Linked DNA regions of Alligator mississippiensis. The protein of the gene in region 3 interacts with the protein of the main gene of each other region in a biochemical or structural test. Links are inferred from orthologs where the notes say so. Each region holds a gene or a part of one and is shown on either strand. Other genes may lie near its edges. The genes, in order: HMGA1, MGMT and PRKCA.

Region 1 (7,973 bases), on a different chromosome or scaffold from region 3:
CTCTATTACTCAAATCAATTAATTCATAGTAAAGAGGGGAAAAAAAATTACTAGAGTGCAGACAGACCTTTTCATCTTGACCTGGAGTGTTTATTCAACTTGAAACTCACACCCTACATTATTCCTAATAGCTTTTCCAGATAGACCACCCCTTTGGAGGAGACTTTTTGCAAGCAATCAGCTGTAGCTGAGGCTAAAAAACTGTTTGGGAACAGATTTATTTTGACAGTCTTGTCTGGGGGCTGAAGGGGCTCGTTGTTTTGGTGAGATCTGCCTTTCACTGCTCACAGGTTTCATTTCCCAGCTGCTTGCTGATGCTTCCTGAATTGGACCTGTTCTGGTATCTGCCAACTAGGAGGTGGGATTATTCCAAATGCTGATGGCAAACAACTTACCTTCTGAAAGAGCTGGCATTTTAAACCTTGTGAGCAATAAGGGGGAGGAACATTGAGCCTTTAACCTCCGAGGTTGAGCTTGGGGATTTGATTCTGCACACATCTCAATGTAAGGGCTTGCCGGATTGAGTCCCAGGCCAGTATGGAGGAGGGGGGGGGGGGGGCTACAATGGTTTTAAACACTGTTTCTTCAGTGACTGAGCTGTTGGGTTGGAGGCTGTGGCACGAAAGATGCCTGACAGCGGTTATTAGTTGGGCAGCCTCAGTCTTAAGGAGTGAGCAGTAGGGTCCAAGCCCCCTTTCTGTTTCTGCAGCTGCTGGGAAGTGGGGCAAGACAGCAGCCCTTTGGCATGTCTGTGTGTGTTCATGCATGGATGCATGCCCTGCTGGTTTGGGGTCGTTGATGATACTCTGACATAAACCATCCTCTGGTCTAGCTCTGGGCTGAATGCAGGCATGCCTGGATGCAGTCCAACAGCCCATGTTAGGCAGAAGGTCAGTTCTCAACCCCATGAGACAGGACCCCCTCAGGAAACCCTTTTTCAATACAGAAAGAGACTAGTCTTCTGTTTGCAAAGGACTCAGGGAGACCACAACAGAGCAGAGCGGTTTTAAACACTTAAGCATCCCTGCTTGAGGTCTCTGGGCATATCTGCTCTACCACGTTTGCCCACCCCAAAGCACTCTTGAAAGGATCCCAAGGCACCTCAGAGAGCTACTGCACCCCGGTTGAGAATCACTAAGCTAAATAGCTGGCCTCTTTTTGGCTTAATCTATAAAAACGTATGCGTGATAGTACATTAAAGCTTCCAACTTCTGGCGCACAGAGGGCCTGCTGGGCATCTTTGTGAAATCAAGGCCATGGGTCAAACCAAAGGTGCATGGGATGGTCAAAGTTATGGACTGCCTGAGCTTCTTTGGCCCCATCAGCTGGCACCTCAACGAGATGAAAAGAAGTTTTAAGACGTGGGCATAGCGGGCCCGATCTTGCTCTTGGTTGGCGCTGGAGTCACTGCTGGCTTCGGTCGTGTGAAATAACGGTGATAACAGCAGGCCACAAATCCGGCAATCTGGTGTCAGCTCCCCGCTGTCCTGCAAACTCCTACCTGGTGCCAGGGGGATAGAAAGCAGCTTCTTGGTGGAGCCTTGCTCTGACCAGGTCCACGATGACCATCCTTGGAGAGGGCACCGGGAATTGTGCGCGAGCTGCGGCAAAGTGGCATTTTTCAGTCAGCTGAGAAAAGCTGGGGGCAGAGTAGGATTTTAGGAACAGGAGGCCTCACTGGCTGCAGGATTAGGACAGGCAGGTTTTTACTCGACAGGCGTGGCCTGTTCCTGTTAGACCCCTCTCTCTTCCTAGCTTCTGGCAGAATCCACTGAAAAAATAGGAAAGGCTACTGCAGGGTGCAGTTTGCTGTCCACACATTGAAGATCCAGCTGTGGACAGTCCACAGGGTGCAGAGATTTGGGGTAACAGAGGTAGTTGAACCAGAAAATATTATCACTGTAGCTGGGTGGGGTTTTACTGGGAGTCGTGCAAGCAGAGTGAGAAGTTGGCCTTGAGGTTAAGGCCCCTTCTGGGCTCTCTGCATACCCTTGGACGCGTCACCTCTTCCATCTGTGCCTCTGCTTGCCCAGCAGTAGAGCGGCTTGGTTAAAACTACTTGGCTTGTCCTGTCGACTGCCCTCTGCGGGGGATGAACTCACTTCCTGTGGCTTTTGTACAGCACCTAGCAGAGCAGGGCCCTGATCTCAGCAATACGAGTATTATAAAGCAATGGGACCGCAGCACAGAAGCAATGCAGAGAAAGCATGGCCGAGACAGGAAAGGATGCACCGCCCAACACGTGGGTCGACACGTGGAGCAGGGTCCCCCCCAGAAGATAGGCCTGGTAGATAAAGATGCCCTTTACAGTCCTACCTGCCACAGCAAGATTGTTCTCCATGGCACATACGCTTAGAGCTCCACGTGGTGCAGTTGCATCCTTCCCTCCCTTCACCAGAGCTGCACAAAACCGCCCTCAGCCCAAAGCACTGGACAGTACATTAAATCACATATTCCCCCATCTCCCAGTTGGGAGACCACATGCTCCCAACACCGCTTCACCACACCTGAGCCCTCCTCAGCTAGGCAACGTGGTACCCCGCTGCAGCCAGGTTTTCAAAAACACCCTCTATTACTGGGTACTTCAGAGCATCTATGCGGACTCGGTTAGAAAAAAAAGAGCCCAATTCCCCCAGAGGCTCGACCTCAAAATGCATGGAGTCGGAGGCCACTTCTGAAAACTGAGATTTGGGATAAGAGCCAGGTGTGCTTCACAGGGCTCCAGCTCAGACTGGAGCTCAGTGGGGTCCAGACAAGAGGACAGCCACTACGCTGACTCCATCACGGGTGCAAATCAACTAGGAGCAAATATAGGCTGCAAAGTTAGGAGGAGGTTTCTGAGCACCCAACGGTTGAGGCTGTGGAGCAGCTGTAGGAGTATCTAGGGCAAGACACAGCTCTCTTTCAGGGGCAGCAGCTCCATCAGCTCAGGAAAAGGCTTTAATAAGGTGGGTGCCCACGGACACAGGGGATGAACTCCAATCCCTTCCAGCCCCCCATTCCTGTGTGACCGTGGTGAGCTGCTCTCTCCTCTCATTAGCACATCAGACAACAAGAGATCAAAAGCCTTAAGTGTGGAGGAAACCCCAAAGCTCCTTGCACTGCTGCTCCAAATGCAACCACTTCATAATGCAATGCAACAGTGGAGGAAACGGGGTGAAAGCTGGGAGTGGACACCAAGAAGCTCCCTCCCAGGAGATCACACCGATTGGAGGGGCCTGGATCATGCTGTCCAGCGCGGGCGGGCGAGAGGGGACAACTAGGACAGGTCGACGCAGAGCTGGGGGAAAAGGAGCTGGACCATGACAATCCTGTGCATCACCAGGGATCCGGGTTTTGCATTTCCCACGGGAAAACAGAGAAAACCATGGATGGATTTCCTGATTTTAGCAGGGGGAAAAAAAATGGATGTTCCTCTTTTAGCAGAGAAACCTGCGGATTCCCTGCTTTTGCAAAGAGCTCTGCAGGCAAGCAGAGTTGCAGCCTGCAGGCTATTTGCAAAAAGAGCGGGAAAGCCCCAGGCCTGCCTGGAGGAGGAGGGAAGGAGGGGGGCAGGGCCTGAGGCTATCACTCCCCCCAGGCTTGGATCAGGCTCACTTCCCCTTCCTGGAGCCTGGGAAGTAAGTAGGGCTGGGGGCTGCCCCTGGCAGGGGCCCTAGGTGGTGGGTGGGGGTGACTGCCAGGGCTGGGGGAAGAGCCAGCAGGGCAGGGCATTGGTGTGTGGCTGCAGGAGCAAGGAGGTGTTGGGGGAAGCCCCCCATGGAGCACCCACCCATGCCACATGGCCCCAGAAAGGGGGGACCCATGCCCCCCAGATCTGTGTGCAAGGGGCAGAGCGGGTGCACGCTGCCCTCCCCCCCAACCTCTGCAGTGCAGCGTGTGTGACCCTGGACGGCAGGGCACAGCAGGGAGGTGCACGAAAGCTGCCTGCTGCTGCGAGCTCTGCGCTGCCTGGGCCACACCTCCCCTGTGTGCGCAGGAGCAGCGGTGAGGGGCACAACCGTGTGCTACTTCCCCTTGTGCACGCAGGGGAGGTGCGACCCAGGCAGCGCGGAGCTCGCAGCAGCAGGCAGCTTTCGTGCGCCTCCCCGCTGTGCCGTGCCGCACCAGGTTGCACACACTGCGCTGCGAAGGTTGCAGGGGAGGGCAGCAGGGTGGGAAGCACAAGTCTGCAGCGTGCACCCGCCTGCCCCCTACCCCCCTGCACACAGATCTGGAGGGCACGGCCCCCCCTTGACACCCGGGACTGCGCCGGAGCCAGCCCACAGCAGCAGTGGGGGAGCCGGCTCCTGCTGCAGCAGCCATTGCCTTCTGCACGGGGCTGGGGCCCTGGCTCCATAGCCCTGGCACCTGTCCCCCCAGCAGGCCTTTAATTTTAATAACGGAGTTTACAATTTTTTTAAGTCAGAGAATCTGCAATTTTTTTTATCAGAGAAAACCAGGATCCCTGGTGATGACTTGCTCTCCCCTCTCATTAGCACATCAGACAAAAAGAGGAGACCAAAAGCCTTCACAGTCTGAAGGAAACCCCAGACCTTGTCCTACTGCTCCAAGTGTAACTGCTCCATAAGGCAATGCAACAGTGGGGGAAAAGGGGTGCAAACTGAACGTACAAAGGAGGGGACACTTGAGCAGCCCCCTCCCAGGAGGTCATAGCCACTGGAGGGGCCTGGATAACACTGTCCAGCATGGGCAGGCTAGAGGGGACAACCAGGACAGGGTGACACAGGGCTGAGGGAAGGAGCTGAACTATGACAATCCTATTCAACACTCATTCACCAACTGGGCGTAGGACCCTCTATGACTCACTCTTGCCTTCCTTGGGCTTCAGCTCCCTCCCATCAGTGAAGCAGGGATGAGAGTCACCTACACAGCCCAGGTCACAGAGAAAGCATTATATCCATGTCACATAGAAAATGCGGCTGACTCACCCTCCTGTCTTCTCTCTTGCATGACCCAGAAGATAGAAAAATGAGTGAATCCAGTGCAAAATCCAGCCAACCCCTGGCTTCAAAACAGGAGAAGGATGTCTCCGAGAAGAGAGGACGGGGCCGGCCCAGGAAGAAGCCGCAGGTACAGAGAATTTTTTCCTTCCACCCTGCTCTAGAGACTAGGAGAGCTGGGTGCTGGACATCTACAGCGAGGAAAGGCATTTTCATGAGTTAAGTTCAGCCCTGGAAATACCTCTCTTCTTAACCCCCTCCGCATGGTCTGGAGGGTAGGGCACAGGGTTGGGATGTCAAGGCCCCCATATCTCTTCCCAGCTGTACCACTAACATACTCAGTAGCTGACCCCTAACCTACCCATTCCCACAAGCATCATGCTGCAGCTTTACACGCGATCGCACACAGTTCTGGAACAGGAGGTGCAGAGCTGCCTTTGTACAACATTGCAATTATGCTGCTTCCTATGCAAAGCTAGTGGATACAGAGCTAGCTCAGGGGTCTCTGCAGCATGCCTAGCAAAAAGGAAAAAAAAAAAAATCACTAGTATAGAGGGCAAAAAGAGCAATGCACCTTCCACACCTTGCTTGGCCTGCCAGGGCCACGGGGAAAAAGCAAGGCAGTGGGAAGAAGCATTAAGGCATAAACAAGGAACAAGGCAACTCCTTCCCCAAGGATGAGGAAACAGCCTAGGTTGCAGAGCCACTTACTGGTATTAAAGTCACAGTCTGACTCCCACATGTTGGGCTCAGCCTGGCAGAGGTGAACAGCACTCAGCTCTTCTTATGGATACAAACCACAGCTCTGTTTGCTGTACATGGACAGCAAGGACCTGTAGGACTTCTCCCAGGGAAAGAGCCTAGCAGAATTTCCCTACCAAAGCACTCCCTCCTGCTCAGCTGTTATAGCAGCAGCATCTGCCCCAGAAAGAGCCTATCCAGACCAGTAGCACTGTATTGAATTCATCAGTTACTTGGTCCTACAGGCATTTAATTCTGTCCTCACTGCCAGGCCCAAGGGGCTCAAAATGCTCCAGCTAAACACTGCCCCTGATCACAATCTGTGAGACCCTACAGCAGGAGCATTTATCAAGTGAATCCTACCAAACCCATCACTGGCTTAGCTGATCTAGGAGCCATAATGCAGACAGGGCTTCTGTGGGTGAGGTCCTTGTAGTCATGTCAATTAACCCTGCTGAAAAAGCAAATGCAACCAGTGCTGATGGAAGCAGCTGGGTGCTACTCAAGCTCCAGCCAGTTCTGCTGAAGCAGGGGGATTTTGCCTGGGTCTAAATTCCCCAAATACAAGCCCTGAGGCACAGGCTTGTGACTTCATCTCTGTTCTGCCCTGAAACAACCACTTGGGCCGCTCAAGCTGTAATATGGGGAAGGGACCCAGAGGGTTTCTCCCTATTGTGTGGAACGGCAGCAGCTAATTAGCATCCTACCTGCCCCTTCACTTGTGTTCAGGCGGGGATGATTGACTGACACCTTTCCTTTATAAAGCCCATATGTTGCAGGTGTTATTAAGAGACTTGCTGAGGGCTGGGCAGTGAATCAGTGGCCAGGCCCAAAGTGAAACCTGTTCCAGTAGCAGAGCCCTGCCCTGGGCAAGTGGCATCTCCCTGATGTGCTATTGCTGTAGCAATAGCTTAATTACCCTTAGCACAAAACAAGGGAAAGCTGACAGACCCAAAGCACGTATCATGGGAAAGCTGACGTACCCAGAGCATGTATCATGGGAAAGCTCAGAGCCTAGCTCTTATCTCTGTCAGTGGAGTTGCTCTGGATTTACACCAACCAGCCCAGGTCAGAAACTGACCCCTGGTATCTTTTAACCAACCTGAGCCAGCAACTCCCACCTCCTTCCTCTTCCGGCGGCAGGAATATTTGCCTGGCAGGGCTCAGATTGGTGGAAGGAGGCCATCACTCTGCAGGGCTGGGGGCAGGGCTGCCGGTGTTGGATTACTGGTTTTCTAATAGCCGCAGCTATAAACAGCAAGCGACGGGGTATTAGAAACTGTAGCTGCGATGCTCATATCTCCTAGTGGAATGCATAATTCACAACATTTTTATGAGTCTCCCAGCATTAGGGTTTCTTGACCCTGAAGCTGGGGTGATTGATTGCATTTTCTGCAGGGGAAGGGTTTTCTGATGTCTCCAAGATCATTCCCAGAGCTTTGCTTCTTCTGCTCCAAATCTGGGGTGGGGGGGAAGCATTTAGCTTCTTTTGGGCAAGCTGATCTCCTTCCCTCCCTCCACTCCCCTCCAGGTTAGGTCCCTCAATTCAGGTAGCCCCTATCTGATCCGTTCCCCTACCCACTCCAAAGCAGCAGCTGGTGCTTCCTGTCCATAGGTGAGTGGCTCACATTCAGACACATCTAATCTAAGCACCGGCCCAGCCTCACTGTCCGTCCGCTTTAAATTCTAAGGACCGGCCCTTTGAAACTACATGTCCCAGCATGCACGGCTGCAGTGCAAGTACCCTGCAGGTGCTGGCTGGACTCTGCCAGCCCCTCCCTGCAGCAGCTCCCTCTCCGACTGCAGTATCCCAAGGGATTTGGATGGAGCAGGGAGGATGGCTCTCCCGAGTGCATGCTTGCCATCACTTCTAATGACACTGAAGGAGTGGGGAGGCTATGCTCTTCAGTCTCCGTCACCAAGGGCCCGCCTGCTGCGTCTTGCTGGGAACCCCCCATTTCCGGGACAGCTGCTTTTGGGTGGGGAGCGCAGGGAGCTGGGATCTTGCTCTGCTTTGCAGCTTGGCTTTGCTCACTCCTGTCTCTCTTCTCTTTGCTTATCACCATAGATCCGGGCATCCGCTGACAGCCTTGCCCTTTCTCTTCAGCAGGAACCCAGCGAGGCCCCGACCCCCAAGAGACCACGTGGCAGACCAAAGGGGAGCAAAAACAAGGCCACTGCCAAAAGCAGGGTAGGTACCTGTGGGGGAAGAAGGGAAGAGGGAATCGCATGACCTTTCCCCATTTGCTGCCTCCAAGTTGCCATGGTTGCTTATTGATGCTGCTCCTT
Region 2 (6,942 bases), on a different chromosome or scaffold from region 3:
GCTAGTCTCATGCAGTGAACACAGGAGTAGGAACCAAACCTAAACTGTCCCATATCCACCTCATAAAATCCCTATAGGTCTCATTCTGCAGAACAGGAGGCACAGGTGGATTTATGTCAACTCTGCCCACTTATTCCACCATTTCCACCAGAGGCCTTGGGACTGGCATTCATAAACAGAAAGAAAGGCAGGGCTGGTAGAAGCACTTCCAACTTATCAACCCTCCATAGAAATTCCATATCACAGTTAATTTTTACTCAGCTGAGTAGCACCCCCTGAATAAGCAAGATGGAATTTTAATGCACAAAGGCATCAATTGGAGTGTGTGTATTGTGGCTCAACTGAAGTTACATTTCTATGCAAAAAGGGAAGACCAAAGGCCACAAAGACAGTTCAGAAGCAAAGACTCTCTCTGCAGCCAGTCCTACTGGATTTCCAGTCCCCAGTGGATTTCCAAGGGTTTGCAGGCCAAAACCTTAATCATTTCTACAATGGGGCTATCCCTTGCTATTAAGATAAACGATTCCAGGTGACGTACTGCAGCATTTCCAGTCCTCTTATCCCCCCTCCCCACCACACACACACTTTTTTTTTTTTTGCTTAATGGACAATGGAGACTCAAGAATAGTCAACTTTGGCACTCGTGCTACCTCGAAAAAGTTACTTATTTACATTATACTTCATTTCATTACTTGTAAAAGGATAATAAACATTAAATTGAAGCAAGGCTAGTTATATGCTGCTTTGAAAATCTGAAAAACTAAAACAATGCATATAATCACTTTTTAAGATAATAAAAGTATTAAACATCAATAATTAAACAATTAGCAATAGCTATACTGTCATTTACTTCCTGAACAGTTGGAGTAGCAAAGTAGCTTCTTTATCTATATTTGCTTTTTCCAATTTTTAGAACTTCTGGACATAATTGTGATATTTCGCCATATTGTACCATGAGCTTTTATTTATTTTTTTAAGCAAGAAGCAATATACCACTTAATCTTTATTTTACATTCTCCTTACTTTCTCTCTTACATTGGAACTGTACTTGATTATTCAGTCTTGCAGCCCAGTTTCAGCAAATGAAGAGATCTGGAATGCAAGTGCCTCCCTTTTCTCTCCCTTTTTGGGGACACATACATGTATGACAGAAATAGACGCAAGGTGTTTGTAGGGGCTAGCTTTTTCTTTTGCTTTTATTGTTTCAGTAGAAGCCTTAAGGAGTCACTTGATAACACTAAAAACATATGTAAACACAGTAAACATACTGATTCCACCCTTAATGATACATGCAGAATTATAACAGGCTTCATAAAACTCACCCCTGTAACCTGCCTATATGCACTATCTGGCATAGTGCCCCCTTACACCAGGAGGAAAGCAGCGGATGACACTGACTGGCAGTACAAGTCAGACAACTGCCACCTGCTATATGGGCATCAACCAGCACACCCCCCTCTCATCGAGAAATAGCTTTTTGTCCTGTTCCATACCATTCATGACGTCATCGGAACCAGCCAGATCTACCCTCTGGCAAAAAGAACGGGAGAAACTAGGAAACTAAGCTGTTGAATGGAGCCAGTAATGAAGGAGTTAGCGTCCAGCTCCCACTACAAATGGCACATGTGGCAGAGCCTGAACAGACTAAAAGCGGGTCTCAGCAAATACAACTTTCTCATGAAATCATTGGGCCTCTACACAGCCAGCCAGTGTGTTTCTCAGGAAAAGCAAACCGTGAATCAACTCCTGAAATGCCCTGTAGCACCACAATGCATCCCACAAGATTTGGCAACAAGACCACCAGAAGCAGTTGCCTGTGCAGAATATTAGGAGCAGACCATATAGAAAGGATGGCCTGGAGACATGACAAGAAAGAAGACTAAAAATATGGTCTCTCCACAGCATCTTAGATCCTACAGGGGTGCAGGCCAGCATGCCACAAATTAGTCACACAACATCCCTTGAGGGCTACTCTAGCACCGCCCCTCTGCTTCCTGCCTGATCTGCTTCTCTGATTTTTGCTTCCTACACTTATCTGCTGCAGTGCTGCCTGCTCCTTCCCTCCTCTGCCACATGCCACACAGCATCCACTCTCAGCCACAGGCAAGATGCACCTGGGGCCTGACCCAGTACAGAGCAGCTTGTATGTTCTGGAGAGGCTGCCTGTGCCTAGGCCACGTCGTCCCATTAATAACACCCTGGGCAGGGGGTGGGGAGGTCACCTCAGGGAAAAAAATAATCAAGTTGATACTGCAGAAAACAACTGAGCTCTACAAGAAGACTCTGCTCCCTCACGCAGATCCAGCTCCACATGCCTGCTGATACAATCGGCTGCAAAGGGGCCGGCACTGCCGCTCTCATCTTGTAAGACAGGGTACGGGTGCCAGAGCCTGGTACGTGACATTTTGCATGGGGCAGACGGCAGAGAAGGGGCCAGGGTTGTGCTGCCACAACAAGCATCGGGCCCCTCCCCTGCCTGCCCCTGGCACACCAGCATCTTAGGAACAGAGGCTGCAGGTGTTTTGGGGCACTGCCCAAAAACCTTGCCAACCCCCATTGTAGGAGGAGCTGCCTGGGGGCAGGGAAATTGCCCTGAGCCTGCAGCTCCGGATGTTTTGGGGGCACCTTTCTCTGCACACCGAGGAGCGCGGCACTTAGGCCTTGGGGAGTAGAAGTGATGCCCTCTGGCAGCGAGGGGTGCGCTTTCAAGAATATACTAACGGGTCGCAAGCAAACTTAAAAAAAAAGAAATAATAATAAAAATTAATTTTAAAAAAGGGGGGATGGGGAGATGTCAGCCCACTTGAAAAAAAAGGGCTCCTGTTTTCAAGGAGAAAAAACGTGGGGAACCCTGTCTGCCAGGGGCTGCTTGGGGCCCTCCCTGTGCCTCACACACGGAGGGGTCGGCACCGGCCGTCTGGGTTCACGACTATGGGTCATGGTGCAGCCCCACCTCCTCCTCCTCGTCGCGGCTCGGCGCTGAGGGCTCAGACCTCCCGGGCGGGCTCCAGCGCGCTCCGCCCCGCCCCGCCCCGCCCCGCCGGGAGGAAGCGGAGCGCGGCAGCCCCCCCGCTTCCGCCTGCGCGCGGGGTTGGACCAGCAGCCCGCGCAGGCGCAGCAGGGGCTGGAGCCGGCCCTGCCCGGGCTCAGTGCGGCGCGCGGGATGTGGCCGTGCCCGCGGGCGGTTGTACAGCCCTGAAGGGAAGGAAAGAAGGCGCTGTTGTCCTGGGGAGGGGGGTAGTTGCTTTGATGCAGAAAAGCCCGCCTGGGCCTGGCTCCAAGCTCCTGGGGGAAGCCGGTGTGATCCTCACGGGCCTGGCAGGGAGGGGCAGGGCAGTGTTCCCATTGCATAGGCAGGGAAGACTGATGTGGTTTGCCTCTTGCCCCTGGTTGCGCCCACGCCGCAGGCTATGCAAGTGCCAGGCAGAAGCGCCACCAGCACCCGGCCGCCTGCTGGTTATAAGAAAATACCCAGAGATTGCTGGCAGGGGAAATGCCCGTGCCACGAAGATGGCGGGGGAAGGACCCTGCCCGAGGTTATGCAGTGAAAACGGCACTGGGTCATGGAGGGGCGCAGCCTTGTCTGCTTGCGAACAAGACTCCCTCCGACAGCCTCGTAGTAAGCTTCCTGCTCAGGTGGGGGAGGATCTGGGCTATGTGACACCTTGATGGAAATGGGAGACTGCTCCTTAGCTTGCTCCATGTGGCCAAGGGCAAGCCCAACTCGAGGGCATCTGAACCGCAAGCTTCCAGGCTCGGGCCTGCAAGCGGGATGCCCAGCTAATGATTTGGAAGCACCGGGTGGGTGTGGAGGGTGTTTGTCGGTTGTAGAGCCATGTTTGGTTCTTGAACGCGTCACAGATTTGGAATGGATTTGGCTAGTTTGACTTGGACGTGAAAAAATTTCCTTAAAAGTTAACATCTAAAGATTTCTGATACTTTAAAGGCTGATACTGTAGCAAGTTGGGGCAGAGCCCAGTTTTGATCATCAGAGTTTTGTAGGATCCAGTCAAGAAGATCCAGCTTCATTTTTTTCATTTGTAGAGTCGTAAAGACGGGGATGAACACAGACAAGCTGAGGAAGTCTATAACTGGGGAATTGCCAAAGGAAGTGGTTTGAGTAGCGAAAGTTGTGTTAGAGAAGACATGGAGTGAGTTGCAGAGTTGGTGATGCTGAAAAAGGTAGGGTGAGGCTTAGATGAGTTAATAAACCATGAGGAGCAGTGAAGAGGAGTTACTAAAATTTACCAAAAAAGCAAAACCCCAAATTATTAGAATTCATTTTAAAGCTCTTTATATACATTTGGGAGATTCTGGAGTGTAATCATGAGACTGTCAGACAAGTGAAGAATTGACTAATGAGGGAGACCCGGACAAAAATGTCTTTCCCTTTTGTGATCGAGCATCGTAACCATAAAGGCATCAGATTTAAAATCTGGTAACAGATAACCAGATCACTTTTGTGTTTTGACTTCAAGGAATTCCCAGCACTTATTTTCTGAGAAGCAGACTTTTTGAACTCCATGCCTAACTCAACTCTTTGTTCTTTGGCTCCTCAGTTTTCGATCCACTTAAAAAAGTGTCAGGAGTCAGGACAGCAGGCAGGATGGTTAGCCCCAGCTGGGCCTAACTACCTGAGTGCCAATGTTGCCAAGTCTCACTAGAAAAAATAGTGGCACTGCCTTTAAAAACAAGCCGAACCCACTTCAAGCCCAAAATAATCCCTGCGCCCAGCCAGGGACTAGGAATTTTGGTGTGGCTATAGCCCCCACCCAAGCTCCCCCTAGTGCCGCCCCTGCTAGCAGGGCATGCAGCAGGGCAGGGAGCTGCTCCAGGACTGGGCTGGGGTCTTGTGGTGGTGACAGCATGGTCTGGAGGTGAGGCAGAGCCACAATTTGCAGCCTGCATGCCGCAGGCAGGGACGTGCAAGCAGCAGATCACGACTTTGTCCTGGCTCGGAACTATGCTGTAATCCACTGCCTGCATGCTCCTGCCCAGTGTATGCAGGCTGCAGATTGTGATTCTGGACCATGCCATCACCACTGCAAGATCCCAGCCTGGTTGGAGCAGCTTTGCACCCTGCTGCATGCCCTGCCAGCACTGCTGGGGCCGATCCACATGGAAACCCCAGCCCCGTGCTCTCAGAGCCTGGCTGCTGCTGGGGTCTCCATGAACACCCTTCCCACCCATGCCCAATTCCAGTGTCAGAGCAGCTATTCAGCAGGACAGAAAAGTCTGTGTCTAGCCTGAGCTTTCAGCTTCTAGTTCCCTGGTTCTTCACTTGTTAGAATCTAGTTCCTCATTTTTTGTTCCCATTTTGGATCCTGCTCTTGTTCCTGACTTGAGTCCAGGTCTTGGATCTCATGGCTCTAACCGGGACTCCTTTTTTTCAGACTTGCTGCTTCATGACCTCTCCTTGTTCCCAACTCTAGTCTAAACTCCCCTGTCTTCTGACAGCTGGCTCTTGTCTTATAGTGTTAGTTTGGTAGTCACCAATGTCCTGGTCCCTTTTAGCTACAACTGCCTGCTTGGGACCCCCTGGCTAGTGAGGCTGATCTGAATCCTTGCTTTTCTATTCCTGACTCCTGCCCCCTCCCCTGCTAATAGTTTGCCTGCCTTTGTCCTTGTCTCTCTCAGACTTCTTGGCTCTATTTTGGGCCTTGTCTGGTCCTGACTTTGTCTGCTTTTAACCCCCCGGGTTGTGAATAAAAAGTCTTGAATGAAAATATTTGCCATAGGCATGTTTTGTTTTCTGTCCCCCTTAAGAGGGAGAGCATAGTTACATTTTGGTTGAAGAATCATCGCTACATTAATCCACAGGTCAAAAGGTCCAGATATCCAAACTAATTTCTGCTGTTAGCTGCCATTTGCAAACAAATCAAGTTTAAAAAAAAGGCTTAAGTGGTCTCCAGGTTGAATAAGAACTAATATAAATAGTTAAATAAGATTAAAAGAGCTTCATTCATGCGAGCACTATTTTGGTGAAATGGGTTTGGAATATCAGAAAGCCCTGAGGCTTCAGATGGGAGGTTGCATTAAACCTGGCAGCTTCTGGTCTTGGGCCATGGTCTATTATCAAACCTTAAAATCAGAAGTACCTCTGGCTACAAGTACCTAAATGCTACAGGTTGGGACCTGTTACCCCCTAGTTTTTCTAAAAGAGCTGAAATCCTTGAGCCTGCTACTGTGTAGTTCAGGGTCTAGAAGAGCTGGGGTAGCTAAGTTACTTGAAGAGAAGTGGCAACCCCTAGCAGAACAGGAGCAGGGAACACTGGTGACCTCTGGCATGGGTCCTCACCCAGCACTTAAGCTGTCATAGGTGGTAGAGGCCCAGGGAAGATCCGTGCATGAGTCTCCCTTCCCAGTGTGGGCTAAGTAGTAGAGCTCCATTTCAATTTGCTCTATGATAGAGCAGGGAGTCCCTCTGTTAGCACCCTTCCCTAAGAGGTCTACCAAGCGGACAAAGGAGTGGTAGGGACTAGCAGCTACACTAGCTGCCCTAGCTATTAAGTTTACCCTGATTGAAACTGGGAAAGAACTCTTAATAGCATTGACCACGGTAAACTGTTAATAGTCACTTGGGGTGCAGACAGAAATTACGTGCATCCCACGATAGGTCCCTTGAAAGTGCTCTAAAGCTGCACCCAAACAGAAAAGCATAGCTGCAGAGCCTGCTGATGGTACAAAAAATTAACCCTCATTGTATGAGGGTTCAAATGAAGATATTCCTAAGCAGACCAACTTCATTAATTTGTCTGCTCCAGCTGCAACAGCAGCCCAGCCAAGCTGCTGTCTCTGAATGGGATTGTGAGAAGGTGGGGGAGGGAGGTCCCTTCTGGGTTTTTCTCAGCCCTGCTAGAGTGAGACAGGTGGATTGGAGTCCTTCACCTTGGGGGGTGGGGGGAGGAGGAGAAGGGGAAGACTCAAATCTACCTACCCCCA
Region 3 (8,013 bases):
CAATATATAGATTATTGTATAAAACTGCCTGACGTTTACCCAATAAGGAACCAAGATGGTGTCTATAAAATATGTCATTAATTTGGAGCCCAGGTGACTTACAGATCAGGGAGAGAAACTTGAATCCCAAGTGTTTCAGATGGCAGATTCTAAGGATCCAAAAGATCCAGCACGCTCATCGCCTGATGAATGGTCCAGATGCCAAATCAGACTATACTGTCGTGGGAGAAAACTCCCTAGTGTCCGTTGTTTAGCTGGCATAGGGACCAGATAACGCGGGTGAAGGGTTAACTGCAGTTTATTTACTCGAGTAAAGACTATAAACCAGCAAAGAGGCAAAATGGCCCTGACTTAAGGGTGGGGCTGTTTTTTATACATTTTCTAATAAAGAAAACTACAAGGTTATTGAATATGCAATACTTATGGTAATTATCTCCTTACATGGTGCATTACAAATCTTAGTACTTTTCCAAAAGAAAAAAGTTAGTGTTATCTTACACATTCTAATCTGTTTTCCTGTACTCCACTGTACCATCTTCTTCCCTCTGGGCCCCCCTTATCTTATTTCACTCCTAGCTGCAGCTGGTACTCAGTACACAGACTTAATTTCTGCTTTTTTCTAACAAAATGGTTAAGGCACTTGACATAAGAAAATGGCTGGCTTAGCTATCATTTTGTCTTGTGGTTAGCAACATTGCTAGGCCACAGGTCATGCCTTGTGTTTAGCTACAAAGCTAATACTATTTAATAATTTAAATTATTGTTAACTTAACAGTATGCTACAGAAAACTATTTTAATTTTAGGGTAAAATCAAACTTGCTCATCACAATATGGACTATGTGGAAACTTGACAATCCCAAACTGAAAAGGTCACACCTTTCCCAAATAAGAACCATAACAGAAAGAAGGGTATGAGTCCTAAGAGGGATAAACTTTGGAAGATGTCTGATAAAATATCCATCCAAAAAATGAAGTGGTATATCAGGTTTCAGGATTAAATCAAAAGTTATCCATAAGGACCATCTGAAGAAGTATCAGAGCAGCAGTTTTCAAATTGTGGGGCACACACAACCCTCCTTGGGGGGTGAAGGAATGTTACGGGGACACAGACAAGAAGTTTGCAAGGAGTTGGTGCTGCTGCAGCCTCGCGGCGGGGTACGGGGATGGGGAGCTCCAGGCAGGCTCTACCAGCACGCAGTTGTGCCTCTGGGAGCCTGGCATGGCAGGCTCACAGCCTAGAGCTGCAGCAGGGCCAAGGGCAGGAGGTGCCGGAGCCACGGTGGGTGGAACCTGCCCCGCCGAGCCGTGCTGAGCTGCGACGGCTACTAGGATGAGGGGCGCTCTGTGCCTGGCTGCGCTGCTCCTCTGGGGTAAAGGGGGGGAGGAGGGGGAAGGGTGCAAGCAAAATTGTAATTCAAAGCGGGGCTCAGCTCAAAACATCTGAGAACCGTTGTATCAGAGGGTCAACATTTCAGCCTGGCTACTCTAAGCCGCTGCAAATTTAGTTGTGGAATTTGAGACTGGAAGGATTGTGACAGACGTGGTTGCTCCAGTATAAAAAATGTGCAGGCTGTGACAACCAGGCAATTTCACAGAAAAAAATTGCTTAATTCCATGGGGTTCGTTGAAAATGGTCTGTCCTGAACAGTTGCAAGGAAACTGGAATTTCCCTCTTCCTGCCCAAAGAGGTTGGATAGAATTAAAATCAGTTTGGGTTGTGATAGGAAAGTATCCGGATAGTTCAGTTGATATCATTTGTAATTGGTAAATTCTTTCTTTTTTTTTTTTACAGGACATCGTTTTGGAGCCTTCAAGAGGATGGGCAGAGCTAAGGGAGAGGGTGGTGTTATTCTGGGACTTAGGTGAATTCTCCTTGAAATCACCCTTCGTTCTGGATGAATGTCTGAAAACAATTCATTTCTCATGGAATGAGATAACTGAAACAACAGGAGGAAACAACTTTCAGAATAAAATACAAACTGTATGTAATGTTTGTTTCCGCATCCACGTGGCCATGGACGTTTGTTTCCCCGGGGACAAGCAGCAGCAGCACACCTTGTGCCACTGCTAGTTGCCCCTGGGGAACACCTATGCAGGAGAGACTGGGGGACACCTATGCTCTGGGCTGGCCCCAGCAGCCATACCTGGGATCCTAGGGGCCTCCTGGGGCTGCAGAAGCAGCGATTCTGGTGCTCAGAGCCTGGCTGGCAGTGGAGTGTGGCTCTAGCCAGCCAGGCTCCAGTTTCAGGTGGCATGTGCTGTCCTTGCATGTGCCACCCCACTTTTTCTTGCACCCCCTGTGCTGCTACCTTGCAGCAGCGCTGAGAACATCTGAACGTGCCGTACTTGGTGCCTGCAGCACCACATCGACCACATGGCCGTGCCCGTCTGGGTGCAGCCATGATCTTTATGGGAATTATGAATGTACCAAATGCAAATTGCACATTCAGTGAAGGAGCATGAGGAAAAGGACCATCACGTACAGAGGCAGGAAAGCCAGATGGGAACCTGTGGGTCTAGCTGCCCTTTGTGACCCAGCCCCTATGACAGGCCACAAGTCTTTGCCCCTTGGAGCAGCCAGCCTTCTGCATTTACCCTCTCCTCTGATCCCCACCTGCCTCTGCAATGAGAGAAGCAGAAGGGTCAACAGAGGAGTGAACGCTACAGGGGTAATAGGTGGCCAAATAAAATCCCCAGTGTCAGACTGGACCTCTTTGCAGGCCAAATCCAACCCACAGGCCATAGGATAGCAACTCCTCTCACTGAGTAATTTTTAAATACATTTGAATATGTGAAGACATTCCTAAACAAAAGCTGTACTGGAGCTATACCGGAGGGGAGGGGGCGAAAGAACCTTTCAACGACTTTAATAAACCCAAAGCAAAAGCAGCAAACAAACCCATTATAAGAGGATGTTGCAATTTTCCTCAAAAATACAAATGCTACAAAGCCAGAAAGTATTAAGATAGGATTCTAATTGTGTTGTAAGTACAGAAGGGGGATAATAATCTGTAAATGCAGAACAATTACATTGGGGGCGGGGGTGTGGAGGGAGGGAAGAAGCAGTGAATTTAGCTGTGTATGGGCTGACTCTCTTGGGGCGATAGGCAGCCAGTGCGGGTCCCAGCTGTGGTAGCTGGGGCTGTAGATGCCAGGGGGTGGCCTGGTCTGTCCCGTAGGGCCCTGCTCCACATTCAAATTCAAACTGGGTAGAAACCAGCTCTGGAGTTGTCACACACTTCAAGAATTAACTCTGTAGCGGGTTGACTCTTTATAGTCGCAAACTCGTTATCATTGTGTCATAATTATGCCCCTCTACATTTATTGTGGGATTCACTGGTTAACTGTGTCACACACCTCAGGTGTGGCAGGGACCATACTAGGGAAGGATTATGTGCCCATGGTGGCCTGCAGCTGCCGGTGCCTGATGGGGAGTTGTGCGTGCCCTCAAGTGCTCTGTGTGTGTGTGTAGGGTGTGTGTGTGTGTAGGGGGTGGACGGTGCAGGATGTGCTGTGCACAGGCAGTGCTGAGAGGGGTGGCAGGTGTCCCACAGCGAGTTGTGCATGCCCCCAGGCACTGTGTGTGTGTGTGTGTGTGTGTGGGGGGGGGTGAGGTGCTGTACCCAGGCAGTGGCTGAGGGGGCTGTGCGTGTCCCCAAGTGCTGTGTGTGTGTAGGGGGGCAGTGGGGGTAAGCAGGGTGTCAGTGTGGGTGTATGTAAGGGGGTGGTGTGGGTGAGTTGTGCACAGATGGTGGCTGAGGGTGTTGCATGTGTCCCTGGGTGCTGTGTGTGTGTGTGTGTGTGTGTGTGTGTAGGGGGTGGTGCAGGATGTGCTGTACACAGGCAGTGGCTGAGTGGGGTTGCAGGTGTCGCACAGTGAGTTGTGTGTGCCCCCAGGTGCTGTGTATGTGTGTGTGGGTGTGGGGGAGGCAGTGCGGGGTGTACTGTACACAGGCATTGACTGAGGGGGGCTGTGGGTGTCCTGCAATGAGTTGTGTGTGTCCCCAAACACTGTGTGTGTGTGGGGGGGGGGAAGGGGCGCATGCAGGGTGTGCTGTACTCAGGCAGTGGCTAAAGGGGTTGTGTGTGCCCCCCCAGGCGGTGTGTGTGTGTGTAGGGGCGGTGTGGATGTGTGTAAGTGGTCAGTGTGGGTGTGTGTAGCAGGGGGTGGTGTGGGTGTGTGTAAGTGGTCAATGTGGGTGTGTGTAGGGGTGGTGTGGGTATGTAGGGGGGTGTGTGTGTAGGGGCGGTGTGGACGTGTGTAAGTGGTCAGTGTGGCTGTGTGTAGTGGGGGTGGTGTGGCTGTGTGTAGGGGCGGTGTGGACGTGTGTAAGTGGTCAATGTGGGTGTGTGTAGCGGGAGCGGTGTGGGTGTATGTAGGGGGTGTGGGTGTGTGTAAGTGGTCAATGTGGGTGTGTAGTGGGGGCAGTGCGGGTGTGTGTAGCGGGGGTGATGTGGGTGTGTGTGTGTAGGGGTGGTGCGGGTGTGTGTAGCAGGGGCAGTGCGGGTGTGTGTAGCGGGGGTGATGTGGGTGTGTGTGTGTAGGGGTGGTGTGGGTGTGTGTAGCAGGGGCAGTGCGGGTGTGTGTAGCGGGGGTGATGTGGGTGTGTGTGTGTAGGGGTGGTGCGGGTGTGTGTAGCAGGGGCGTGCGGGCGTGCTGTGCACAGGCGGTGGCTGAGGGGCTGTGTGTGTCCCCAAGCCCTGTGTGTGTGTGCATGTTGGGGTGGTGCAGGCGTGCAGCTGCACGTGCCCCCAGGAGAGGGTGTGTGTGTGTGTGTGGCTACGGGGCTGCGCATGCCCCTGGCGCTGTGCGTGTGTGGGTGTGCAGGGGCGGTGTGGGTGTGTAGGGGGGCTGTGCAAATGCTTGTCAGGGGTAGAGCGTGTGTGTGCAGGGGCAGTGCGGGTGCGCTGTGCACAGGCGGCGGCTGAGGGGGGTGTGTGTGTGTGTGTGTGTGTGTGTGTGTGTGAGTGCGCGGGGCGGGGCGAGTGACGAGCGGCGGCAGGTGCCCGCCCCGTTGGGCTGTGCCGTGCCGTGCCGTGCCGGGCCGGGCCGTGCCGTGCCGGGCGGGGCGGGGATCCCGCGGCTCCTCCCGGGAGGCGGTGGAGCTAGCGAGCGGCTCGGCGCGGCTCGGCGCGGCGCGGAGGGAAGGGAAGGGAAGGGAAGGGAAGGCAGCGCCCAGCCGAGCGCAGCGCTGCGCTGCGGGAGGGCGGCGGCGGCGGCGGTGCGGCGCGGTGCTGTGCGGCGGTGCGGGGCGGCGATGGCCGACGTGTTCGCGGGCGCGGACCCGGCGGCGCCGCGCTTCGCCCGCAAGGGCGCCCTGCGCCAGAAGAACGTGCACGAGGTGAAGGAGCACAAGTTCACCGCGCGCTTCTTCAAGCAGCCCACCTTCTGCAGCCACTGCACCGACTTCATCTGGTGAGAGACACGCCGCCGCCGCCCGCGGAGGGAGGGAGGGAGGGCGGGGGTAAAAAGTTCGCCCGCAGCTGCTGGGAGCGGGCGGCGGAGGGACGCCCTTCCCACAGAGCAGGGGCTGGGTGTGCAAGCCCTGCTCCCTCGCCCAGAGTGGGGCGAGCGTGCAAGCCACACTCCTTGGCATCCCGTGGGGCGAGTGGGTGTGCACACCTGTGTAGCACAAGTTCGTGTCCACAACAGAAAGGGAAGAAAAACTCAACTTATTTGCTGAGGGAGAAAGACTGGCTTGCTGTGTACACACTTCTGGGAAGCGGTGTGCCCCGCTCACGTCCTTTTTGTTCGGGGAGAGCGACCTGCCTCCTCTCAGGGGAGGCTGCTTCCCTCCGCACGGCCTACTCCACGGTCTTTCCTTTCCCTCTTTGCTGTAACCCGTGCTCCGAGGGAAAGACCCGCTTTGAGCCCGCTAGCACGCACAAAAGACGTGTGGGAGGGGGAAGGCGTCCAACCGAAGACCTAGGGTCAGGGAGAAACTGCTGAAACGCACTGCAGAGCGAGGTAGAAAAAGGAAAAAAAAAAAAAGATCTGGCTTGTCAATCTGTGACCGCTCAATTGCAAAACTAAATTGAATCAAAGTAAGGGAATTAAACCCCCCCCCCAAAATCCAACCCCGCAAACCTGCTTTAAAATTAATCCAAAAAGAGTTGGCAGGTGTGAAAGAAACGCTACAAGATTATTGTCGCCTGTGTTTGTACAGATAAATAATGCAGGTCTCTCTCTCTCTCTCTCTCTCTTTTTGTTTCTTAAACGCTGTCATGATAAAAGGTACCTGATTACAGGATGCATTTGGTAGTGGAAGGATATCCTGTCACTGGCAGGTGGCAAGCGTAATTGTACTCTGTTGACTTGTCAGTCCCCGCTAGGAAACCAAGGAAGCTCTTAAATATTTTTAACGCAGCATGCAACAGTATCGGTACACTTGTTTTTTGGCTGATTTAAAGTGAGGTGAAGTATTGATACTTTAACGCACGCAGCACAGCGAATGTGGCATATGCAGAAATACGTGAAGGCACACAAAACTACTGCACGGCCTCGGGGAAGGGGGTGCCCAGGGCCTTGCTCTTCGGCATGGGCAAGGGACGGGCTGCACTGGCTCGTTCCCGTCCTCCGGGCCATGGCATCCCATGGGCAGGGGGCAAATGAGCCACACCACTGCCCCTGCCCATGGTGGTGCCTCAAGGACCTGGCTGGGGAAAGGGCTTCCAGCTTCACAGCCCCCAGCCCATGCCGAGCTCCTCCTGAGCAGCTGCTGGAGGCAGGGATGGGCGGGCAGGGTGGCGCTCCCCTGACCGGGCACCCTGCGCAGTTGCCTGCGTCGCCCACCCGTGAGGCTGGCTCGGTCACAGGGTACACGCAGAAGTATTTGAGGGCACACCTGACTGTTGAATGAGCTTTCACAGAACTATTTCCTAAAGAACAGCAGAGATTAAAATGGAGTTGATGACTATTTCAGATAATTTGAGTGTGTCAAGTACAATCATTATCATTTTTTTAATGGAATAATGTCCTTATCCTTTTTTTTTTTTCTTTTCTAATTTGCCACTTAAGAATCCAGCCAAGTAACCAATTGTTTTTTTTAGAGTTGCAAATTGATGGAATTTTTTTCTAACAAACAGTTTTCTTGTGTGCATGTGAAACTCAAAGTTAAAAAAGAACATGTATACTTTCGACTGCATAAAACTGACTGAACTATGAGCCATCACCTTTCAGCCCAAACCCTAAGGAAGATCAGAGTATCTGATCACAGTTGTGTAGAAATAGTCACTTAAGAAAAAAAAAAAGGAAAAAAAAGAAGCTAAAGATAGTTTCAGGTTCTTAGTCCTATTAGTCAGTTTTTGGTTTTTTATTTGTATATTGTTAAAAGATAACTTTCACTTCCGTCTTGTAGAGTGATTTACCCAAACAGGGAAATTACCTGTACACAAAATACAGGCAAAGTAGACAAAAACAAATAAAGTTATCATCCTGTTTGAATTCCTTAATCCTAGACATCTCATGTAACAGCGGTAGGTAAACGCATTCAGGTAGCAGTGGGATGGCTTTTGTAAAGTGAGTGTCTCTGTAAGATCAACACTCAGTTCACTATTCAGTTTGAAATAACTTTTTATGAAAGGTTACATGGAGTTTTAAATTATTAACTTCTCAAAATCAATTTAACATTTAGGTATGAAGAAAATGTTGTTATTTTTTTAGCTGTAATTTTTTACAACTGAACATCCTCCTTATTGTGGCTAAAGAGGCCTATGCAGCTTACCATCTTTTGCTGTATGTTGGTCTTTGGTTTTGATGAGTTCTCTCTCTCTCTCACCATGATCCCTCTCAGCTACGTGACAAATGGAAAATGTTTTGAAAAAAACAGAATACTTGTAAACTCTCATAAATGAGAAACTTGAAACATTTATTTGTGTTGGCAGAGAGCAATTAATGTCAAAATCCAACATGAAGAATCAAGGTAGTGTTTTGCCTTGACTGTAAAACATTATGTATTTATACATACTTGTACATATGTACTTAAGCATGTACATAGTACAACAAAAGAATT

The links.
Region 1: of the proteins of PRKCA (region 3) and HMGA1, one has a biochemical effect on the other in vitro, tested with the Homo sapiens proteins (2 studies listed by BioGRID). The link is inferred for Alligator mississippiensis from reciprocal best matches to the Homo sapiens genes PRKCA and HMGA1.
Region 2: of the proteins of PRKCA (region 3) and MGMT, one has a biochemical effect on the other in vitro, tested with the Homo sapiens proteins (2 studies listed by BioGRID). The link is inferred for Alligator mississippiensis from reciprocal best matches to the Homo sapiens genes PRKCA and MGMT.

What each region holds. Positions count from the first base shown.
Region 1 is NC_081837.1:37,338,277-37,346,249, reverse strand, and holds the start of HMGA1 (high mobility group protein HMG-I/HMG-Y), read left to right. Parts: upstream 1-4,971; coding exon 4,972-5,073; exon of another isoform or gene 5,074-5,459; intron 5,460-5,654; exon of another isoform or gene 5,655-6,801; intron 6,802-7,752; coding exon 7,753-7,875; intron 7,876-7,973. UniProt on the Homo sapiens protein: HMG-I/Y bind preferentially to the minor groove of A+T rich regions in double-stranded DNA. It is suggested that these proteins could function in nucleosome phasing and in the 3'-end processing of mRNA transcripts.
Region 2 is NC_081829.1:78,338,333-78,345,274, forward strand, and holds the start of MGMT (methylated-DNA--protein-cysteine methyltransferase), read right to left. Parts: upstream 3,054-6,942; 5' UTR 2,954-3,053; intron 1-2,953. UniProt on the Homo sapiens protein: Involved in the cellular defense against the biological effects of O6-methylguanine (O6-MeG) and O4-methylthymine (O4-MeT) in DNA. Repairs the methylated nucleobase in DNA by stoichiometrically transferring the methyl group to a cysteine residue in the enzyme.
Region 3 is NC_081831.1:5,228,825-5,236,837, forward strand, and holds the start of PRKCA (protein kinase C alpha type), read left to right. Parts: upstream 1-4,991; 5' UTR 4,992-5,259; coding exon 5,260-5,417; intron 5,418-8,013. UniProt on the Homo sapiens protein: Calcium-activated, phospholipid- and diacylglycerol (DAG)-dependent serine/threonine-protein kinase that is involved in positive and negative regulation of cell proliferation, apoptosis, differentiation, migration and adhesion, tumorigenesis, cardiac hypertrophy, angiogenesis, platelet function and inflammation, by directly phosphorylating targets such as RAF1, BCL2, CSPG4, TNNT2/CTNT, or activating signaling cascade involving MAPK1/3 (ERK1/2) and RAP1GAP.